Linked DNA regions of Xenopus tropicalis. The protein of the gene in region 2 purifies or fractionates together with the protein of the main gene of each other region. This does not show direct contact. Links are inferred from orthologs where the notes say so. Each region holds a gene or a part of one and is shown on either strand. Other genes may lie near its edges.

The links.
Region 1: the proteins of setd1b (region 2) and cxxc1 purify together in Homo sapiens (affinity purification with mass spectrometry; 11 studies listed by BioGRID and IntAct, counting the BioPlex papers as one, with this or other methods). This does not show direct contact. The link is inferred for Xenopus tropicalis from reciprocal best matches to the Homo sapiens genes SETD1B and CXXC1.

Annotation. Positions count from the first base shown.
Region 1 is NC_030684.2:1,159,158-1,162,971, reverse strand, and holds part of cxxc1 (CXXC-type zinc finger protein 1), read right to left. Parts: intron 1,906-3,814; coding exon 1,796-1,905; intron 1,631-1,795; coding exon 1,530-1,630; intron 175-1,529; coding exon 26-174; intron 1-25. UniProt on the Homo sapiens protein: Transcriptional activator that exhibits a unique DNA binding specificity for CpG unmethylated motifs with a preference for CpGG.
Region 2 is NC_030677.2:162,156,786-162,161,079, reverse strand, and holds the start of setd1b (histone-lysine N-methyltransferase SETD1B), read left to right. Parts: upstream 1-1,379; 5' UTR 1,380-1,615; coding exon 1,616-1,688; intron 1,689-1,845; coding exon 1,846-2,000; intron 2,001-2,276; coding exon 2,277-2,375; intron 2,376-2,783; coding exon 2,784-3,054; intron 3,055-4,294. UniProt on the Homo sapiens protein: Histone methyltransferase that catalyzes methyl group transfer from S-adenosyl-L-methionine to the epsilon-amino group of 'Lys-4' of histone H3 (H3K4) via a non-processive mechanism.

The DNA.
Region 1 (3,814 bases), on a different chromosome or scaffold from region 2:
AGGTAAATACACATTAGGTACCTACCCGGGGTACCTTGTTGCTGCTGCTGCTGGTGCTGCCGCTTTTCTTTTTTTCATTTTTTGCAGTCTCTTCATTTTCATCCTTTTCCGTTTCTCTCTCGCGCTCCTTCGACTTCTTGTGTCTGTATTTGATCTCAAGGTGCGGGTGTTTGTCTGGCACGTGGGCAAAAGGCACACCTTTATATATTTCTACTGCCTCTAACCCCCACCGGAACTGCCCCCCACATCCCCCGCCCCTACCGGCCTCTAACCCCCACCGGAACTGCCCCCCACATCCCCCGCCCCTACCGGCCTCTAACCCCCACCGGAACTGCCCCCCACATCCCCCGCCCCTACCGGCCTCTAACCCCACCGGGAAACTGCCCCACACATCCCCCGCCCCTACCGGCCTCTAACCCCACCGGAACTGCCCCCCACATCCCCCCGCCCCTACCGGCCTCTAACCCCCACCGGAACTGCCCCCCACATCCCCCGCCCCTACCGGCCTCTAACCCCCACCGGAACTGCCCCCCACATCCCCCGCCCCTACCGGCCTCTAACCCCCACCGGAACTGCCCCCCACATCCCCCGCCCCTACCGGCCTCTAACCCCACCGGAACTGCCCCCCACATCCCCCGCCCCTACCGGCCTCTAACCCCCACCGGAACTGCCCCCCACATCCCCCGCCCCTACCGGCCTCTAACCCCCACCGGAACTGCCCCCACATCCCCCGCCCCTACCGGCCTCTAACCCCACCGGAACTGCCCCCCACATCCCCCGCCCCTACCGGCCTCTAACCCCCACCGGAACTGCCCCCACATCCCCCGCCCCTACCGGCCTCTAACCCCACCGGAAATTGCCCCCCACATCCCCCGCCCCTACCGGCCTCTAACCCCACCGGAACTGCCCCCCACATCCCCCGCCCTACCGGCCCTCTTAACCCCCCACCGGAACTGCCCCCCACATCCCCCGCCCCTACCGGCCTCTAACCCCCACCGGAACTGCCCCCCACATCCCCCGCACCTTACCGGCCTCTAACCCCCCACCGGAACTGCCCCCCACATCCCCCGCCCCTACCGGCCCTCTAATCCCCACCGGAACTGCCCCCACATCCCCCGCCCCTACCGGCCTCTAACCCCCACCGGAACTGCCCCCACATCCCCCGCCCCCTACCGAGCCCTCTAACCCCCACCGGAACTGCCCCCCACATCCCCCGCCCCTACCGGCCTCTAACCCCCACCGGAACTGCCCCACATCCCCGCCCCTACCGGCCTCTAACCCCCACCGGAACTGCCCCCACATCCCCCGCCCCTACGGCCTCTAACCCCCACCCGGAACTGCCTCCCACACCCCCGCCCCTACCGGCCTCTAACCCCCCACCGGAACTGCCCCCACACATCCCCCGCCCCTACCGGCCTCTAACCCCCACCGGAACTGCCCCCCACATCCCCCGCCCTACCGGCCTCTAACCCCCACCGGAACTGCCTCCCACACCCCCCGCCCCTGCCATAATGCCCCTTGGTGCTTACCTCGGCATTGCACGCAGTACCACTCTCGTATGGCCTTTGCCATCTTCTCGGTGATGTTGATGCAGTGCCCGTGGAACCATTCGTTACAGTTGTCACAGCCGCTGCCGAGAGACAAACCAGGATAGAGATCAGGCTGCAGTGGGCACGGTGTCAGCTTAGGGGCATTATATGGGCTGTTAGTGGCATTAACGCCCCCCCTGGCTAGATGAGGGGTGCATGTTGCTATGGAATGACCCCCCCCCCAATCACACACGTGTATTTCTCACATCATGAAGCAGTTGATATCCGGCTTTCGGCAGATACAATACACCGGGGCGTTCTCTCCATCCTCCGTGTCCCCGGCCGCAGTCAGGTCCGCGTCTGAAAATTCACTCTCCTGGGGCAACAAAGAACCCCCCCATCAGTAACTGCCACAGTGGCTGTGCCCTATCCCCACTACTATTTGTACTAAGGGGATCAGGAAGGGAAATGTGCCTGTTGCAACATGGGGAGGGGGGGGTCCTATTCCTCATAGATTGTGAGCTTCTGAGTATCATTCCTTCCCATGGGCAGAGTGTCTTTACCCTTTCCATCTCTTGCTTCTACCCTAAAAGGTGCCAGGCTGGCATAGTATAACCCCCTGTTCCCGTGGGGCCCATTAGTACAATGCTGGGGGGGCAGTGCCAGTGTGACACAGTATAACCCCCTGTACCCGTGGGGCCCATTAGTACAATGCTGGGGGGCAGTGCCAGTGTGACACAGTATAACCCCTGTACCGTGGGGCCCATTAGTACACATGCTGGGGGGCAGTGCCAGTGTGACCAGTATAACCCCTGTACCCGTGGGGCCCATTAGTACAATGCTGGGGGGGCAGTGCCAGTGTGACACAGTATAACCCCCTGTACCCGTGGGGCCCATTAGTACAATGCTGGGGGCAGTGCCAGTGTGACACAGTATAACCCCCTGTACCCGTGGGGCCCATTAGTACAATGCTGGGGGGGCAGTGCCAGTGTGACACAGTATAACCCCCTGTACCCGTGGGGCCCATTAGTACAATGCTGGGGGGGCAGTGCCAGTGTGACACAGTATAACCCCCTGTACCCGTGGGGCCCATTAGTACAATGCTGGGGGGCAGTGCCAGTGTGACACAGTATAACCCCCTGTACCCGTGGGGCCCATTAGTACAATGCTGGGGGGGCAGTGCCAGTGTGACACAGTATAACCCCCTGTACCCGTGGGGCCCATTAGTACAATGCTGGGGGGCAGTGCCAGTGTGACACAGTATAACCCCCTGTACCCGTGGGGCCCATTAGTACAATGCTGGGGGGCAGTGCCAGTGTGACACAGTATAACCCCCTGTACCGTGGGGCCCATTAGTACAATGCTGGGGGGCAGTGCCAGTGTGACACAGTATAACCCCTGTACCTGTGGGGCCCATTAGTACAATGCTGGGGGGCAGTGCCAGTGTGACACAGTATAACCCCTGTACCTGTGGGGCCCATTAGTACAATGCTGGGGGGGCAGTGCCAGTGTGACACAGTATAACCCCCTGTACCCGTGGGGCCCATTAGTACAATGCTGGGGGGGCAGTGCCAGTGTGACACAGTATAACCCCCTGTACCCTGTGGGGCCCATTAGTACAATGCTGGGGGCAGTGCCAGTGTGACACAGTATAACCCCTGTACCTGTGGGGCCCATTAGTACAATGCTGGGGGGCAGTGCCAGTGTGACACAGTATAACCCCTGTACCCGTGGGGCCCATTAGTACAATGCTGGGGGGGCAGTGCCAGTGTGACACAGTATAACCCCCTGTACCCGTGGGGCCCATTAGTACAATGCTGGGGGGCAGTGCCAGTGTGACACAGTATAACCCCCTGTACCCGTGGGGCCCATTAGTACAATGCTGGGGGGGGCAGTGCCAGTGTGACACAGTATAACCCCCTGTACCCGTGGGGCCCATTAGTACAATGCTGGGGGGCAGTGCCAGTGTGACACAGTATAACCCCCTGTACCGTGGGGCCCATTAGTACAATGCTGGGGGGCAGTGCCAGTGTGACACAGTATAACCCCCTGTTCCCGTGGGGCCCATTAGTACAATGCTGGGGGGGCAGTGCCAGTGTGACACAGTATAACCCCCTGTACCCGTGGGGCCCATTAGTACAATGCTGGGGGGGCAGTGCCAGTGTGACACAGTATAACCCCCTGTTCCCGTGGGGCCCATTAGTACAATGCTGGGGGGGCAGTGCCAGTGTGACACAGTATAACCCCCTGTACCTGTGGGGCCCATTAGTACAATGCTGGGGGGC
Region 2 (4,294 bases):
AAAGATGGATTCCAAATGATATGGAGAAAATCCAGACATGTTGTGCTATAAACGTTTTAATCTTCCTTCTTCCAAAAAAAGTCCTCTGAAATAGCAAATGTAAAGAACACACAGTGTGGTGGACTCCTGATAGGTGATGGTGAATTCAATTTAAAGGATCCCTTTTTTTTAAAGCACAAAGTCAAAACACCAAGGGTGAAACACACACAGCCATTTCATTCCATGGCAGATAATGGCTGCCTGCTCAGTTAGCCTCTCCTTGTGACTCTGATGAAGGATGTTTCGCAGTGCACAATAATAACTCAAAGGCAGATGCAAGCTGCGCACTGATTGGCTGCAGCATTCGGGAGAGCCTCTAAGCCAGCCGCTGACGTCATCGTGGCCAAGACCCAAGAAGGGGGGGCACCCACACACACAGCAACACAACACAACACAAAAATTAATCTATAACCGAAGGTAAATAACAAACACAGGGAAGCGCTTACGGATAATGTTGGCATGTCTAAATTACAATGTCTAAAAAGGATAAGACATAGAATTACCTTTTATTAGCGTCCAATTATTTAATGCGCGAATCACGAATCACCTTACATGTACATATCTTTGCCCCTCTCAACAGAGGAACTGGCCGTGGCCGCCTAACAGAACGTTACGTACCCATGTCCCAGTCTTTTCTGGGTTAATTAAAATGGAAGAGAATGCTGGCCCGGGGTTAATTCATGGATATGTACTATCCCCCTAGGAGAAAGGGGAGGACACATGAGCGGCTGGGAAACACTCCGAGTTAGCCGTGATATAAACGTCCGATTCATGGGATCGTGGGGGGGACACCATTACCCCACAGTGCCAAACCAAACTACACCAAATCAATCTTGTCCAACGACTGTTTAAGGGCGCCATGTAAACCCAATACGGCAGATTCCAATCAAGTCTCCCCCCTCCCGCGGTCCTCTTGTAGCCTGATAAAGAACGGGGGAATTCCAAGCCCTACAAAATAATGCCGGACCCTTGGGAGAAACCGAGGGCATCCCGATTTCGCCTGTTAAATACCGAATAGGATAGTTAAAATACCAAACCCCCTATTAGTATAAATTATATAGGTATATCTATACCGGCACAAAGTACTCATAGCCATAAATTAACCCATTCATTGCACCAGCTTTCGACTGGAAATGGGACGGGAGAAATAAAACACTTCTCTCCGCTACATAGTTTAAATAAGTGAATTCATTTAATTCTTCCAATAAATGCACGCATTTCATTAAAACAACGATTAGTAAATAGACATTAAATTTAAATTTAGCAGCGCCACTTGATGTGACGAATGTGCTAGGCGGAAGAGGAAGACTTGTTCCCGGGGCTTCTGGCTGGCTAGGGAGAGAGAGGAGGGAGGCGGAGGACGCGGTGCATTGTGGGCCGCCTCAGAGCGAGCAGAAGCACAGCTCACACACAATATGTGTTGGCTCGCCAAAAAGGAGCAGCCAGGGTCCCTTCCACAGCATGTCATGTAACCGGGGAAGGGGCCTGTGAAGCGGCTTGGCCTTTCCTGCGGGGCAAGGAGATAGCCCTGGGCGCAGGAGAGCTGAGGTTGGGGGAGTGGGGAAGGCGGGCAGGCATGTCTTTCAAGGAGGCCAAGCCTGGGGAGAGAGGCAAGAACCCAGAAGACCATGGCAGAAAGCAGACTGCAAGTGAGAATGGATCTTGTATAGTGTATCGTGCGGTAGCAGGCATGGAGGCTGAGGGGATAGAGATCACACTGGGGCTGTAGCTTGCCATTGTGTGTAGAGCTTTGCCTGCTGGACTGCCCCAGCTCCACTATTCATTTCTTCTGTTTGTGGCTTGCAGGCTGGATCAACGGGATGGAGGCAGGCAACCAGCCCAGTACTTCGGGCGAGAAGAAGAGTCACCATTGGCGGAGTTACAAGTTGATCATTGACCCTGCTCTGAGGAAGGGGCAGCACAAACTCTATCGTTACGATGGGCTCAGCTTTAGCATGCCTGTATGTGTTCCCGGCTCGTGTGTGTATTGGGGTTGGGGGGGAGTTCTCTCTTTGCAATGGTTTCGCTTTGTGGCTCCCTAACATTAAGTATTAGTGGTCTGATCCCAGGGATCCCTCGGCTGAGCCTTCTCCTGCTGTAATGCATTGCCCATGCGTGGAACTTGACAAGTGCATCCCGTATAGTGTGCCCCTGTCAGCGAGTGCAGCTTCCCTCTTGCACAGTGTGTGGTGGGGTGGGGGGCTTATATGTTTACTAACTGTCTTATTTCTTCGCAGAACTCCGGGGTCCCCCCTGTGGATTCAGTAAGAGATCCCCGGATCGGACGTATATGGACCAAAACTAAAGAGTTGGATTTGCCTGTCCCCAAACTTAAGGTATTATTGCTCAATGTATGAAGTTCTCTCGGATGATGCTAATTGGCAGACTGCCTGCTATCAGTACTATAAGTGATGAGCATGCCCCCATGTGTAGGCAGCAGAGAGCATTTGGCCAGACGTCTGTCTGAGAAGTGCAACATGTGGCTTCCCAGCAACGGTTCTTGCGCTACAGCTCGCAGCTTATCAGGGAAAGCCGGCCTGCCCTGGAATGCTGGGAGCAGTAGGACATCAAACAGCTGGAGAATCGCCTGCCGTAGGCGACTTTGCTTTGCCGTTAGATTGATATCGCTGTACTGTAGCCAAATGCGTTAATTGGTTCGCTTGCTTTGGCAGGCATTGACCTACTGCCCCGATGATCGCCCCATGTCCCCCCCTCTTTAATTCCATCCCTCCTTGTCATTGCAGATCGATGAGTTTTATGTGGGGCCAGTGCCCCCCAAGCAGGTGACGTTTGCCAAACTAAACGATAACATCCGCGAAAACTTCCTGGGGGACATGTGCAAGAAATACGGGGAGGTGGAGGAGGTGGAGATCCTTTATAACCCCAAAAATAAAAAACACCTGGGCATTGCCAAAGTCATATTCGCCAGCGTGAAGGGCGCCAGGGACGCGGTGAAACACTTGCACAACACCTCGGTCATGGGCAACATCATTCACGTTGAGCTGGACACGAAAGGTGGGTGCGTTAGGGCGCCAGGGGCTTCCCGGTCCTGCTGCCTGTGCAGTAACCCACCGAGCTCTACTGCGCTCAGTCCCCAGTACCAGCGAGTCACGTGTAGAGAAAGTGTTGTCTGTTGCTAGGAGACTGCAGTCCTGGCCTGTGTATCACTAAACTTTCTTACTCCTGTCAGTTTCCTGCTACTTTGTAGCACTTTCACTCATCTATTTTATACACTCCACAACGGCTCACCTTGTTCATTGTTTTTAATCCTTTTAAGTATTATACAGTGTGCTGTAGGGTTATTTACACCAATCCCTGCTTTTGTTCAGGTACAACTCTGAGCAGTGCTGGCTATTGTAGCTTGAAGGGAATGTTACAAAACCAAATGCAATTTTGCCCAATTAAATGAAATGCCATTTTAAGTTTTTCTTCCAGTATAAATTAATCAGAACATATAAATATGTTTACAGTTATCTGTAAATATTATTAATTTTCAAAGAAGCACCTGTCTGTCCCATTTGCACTGCTGGTTCTGTCTTTGTAGCTCTGAAAATGTGCAATTCCCATGTGCAGTTTCTTTCATAAGTTTTATTTTTGGGTTTACATCTCCTTTGATTATTGCTGGTAAGGGGGAGGGTAGTCATAGTCTGTATATACAGAATTGTAGACTGGGCTTCACTGACAAATTTATGTTTTATTTAATAATAAAGCCACAGACTTAGCATATTCCTGATGTAGGTGACTGTGTTGGCACCGCCATGCACATTTCTTATAGTATGGCTGTTTATAGATTTGTCCAAACAACACATGGAATAAGTGAAATGTTAGGAATTAATGATTTGTGCACATCAGTAGCTATGTGTATGCCCTAAAACAGCAACATCTGCAAAAAGCTTAGAATTTCAATCGGTAGATGTAGTAGTCTCCTGTTGGCAAATAGGTGTCAGTTGGTAATCATGTTTTTTTTTAATATTGCAAGTAAGTAGTGTAACTTCACCAGCAGAAGCTTTGTCTTTGCTGTTCATTTTATGGCCATCAACAGAGTGAATGGAGTTCCTGCTGCTGTGGAAAAACTACAGCCTCTGGCAACTACTCCAAAGATCTGCAGTAATTTATTAAGATTTTAGTTTTGCAGAAAACCATTTTATCAGTATCACAATGCTTTAACCTGGTAGTCATTGTTTAAAGAAATAGTAACATTAAAGGAACAGTAACACAAAAAAATATAAATGTATCAAAGTAATTAATATTTGCT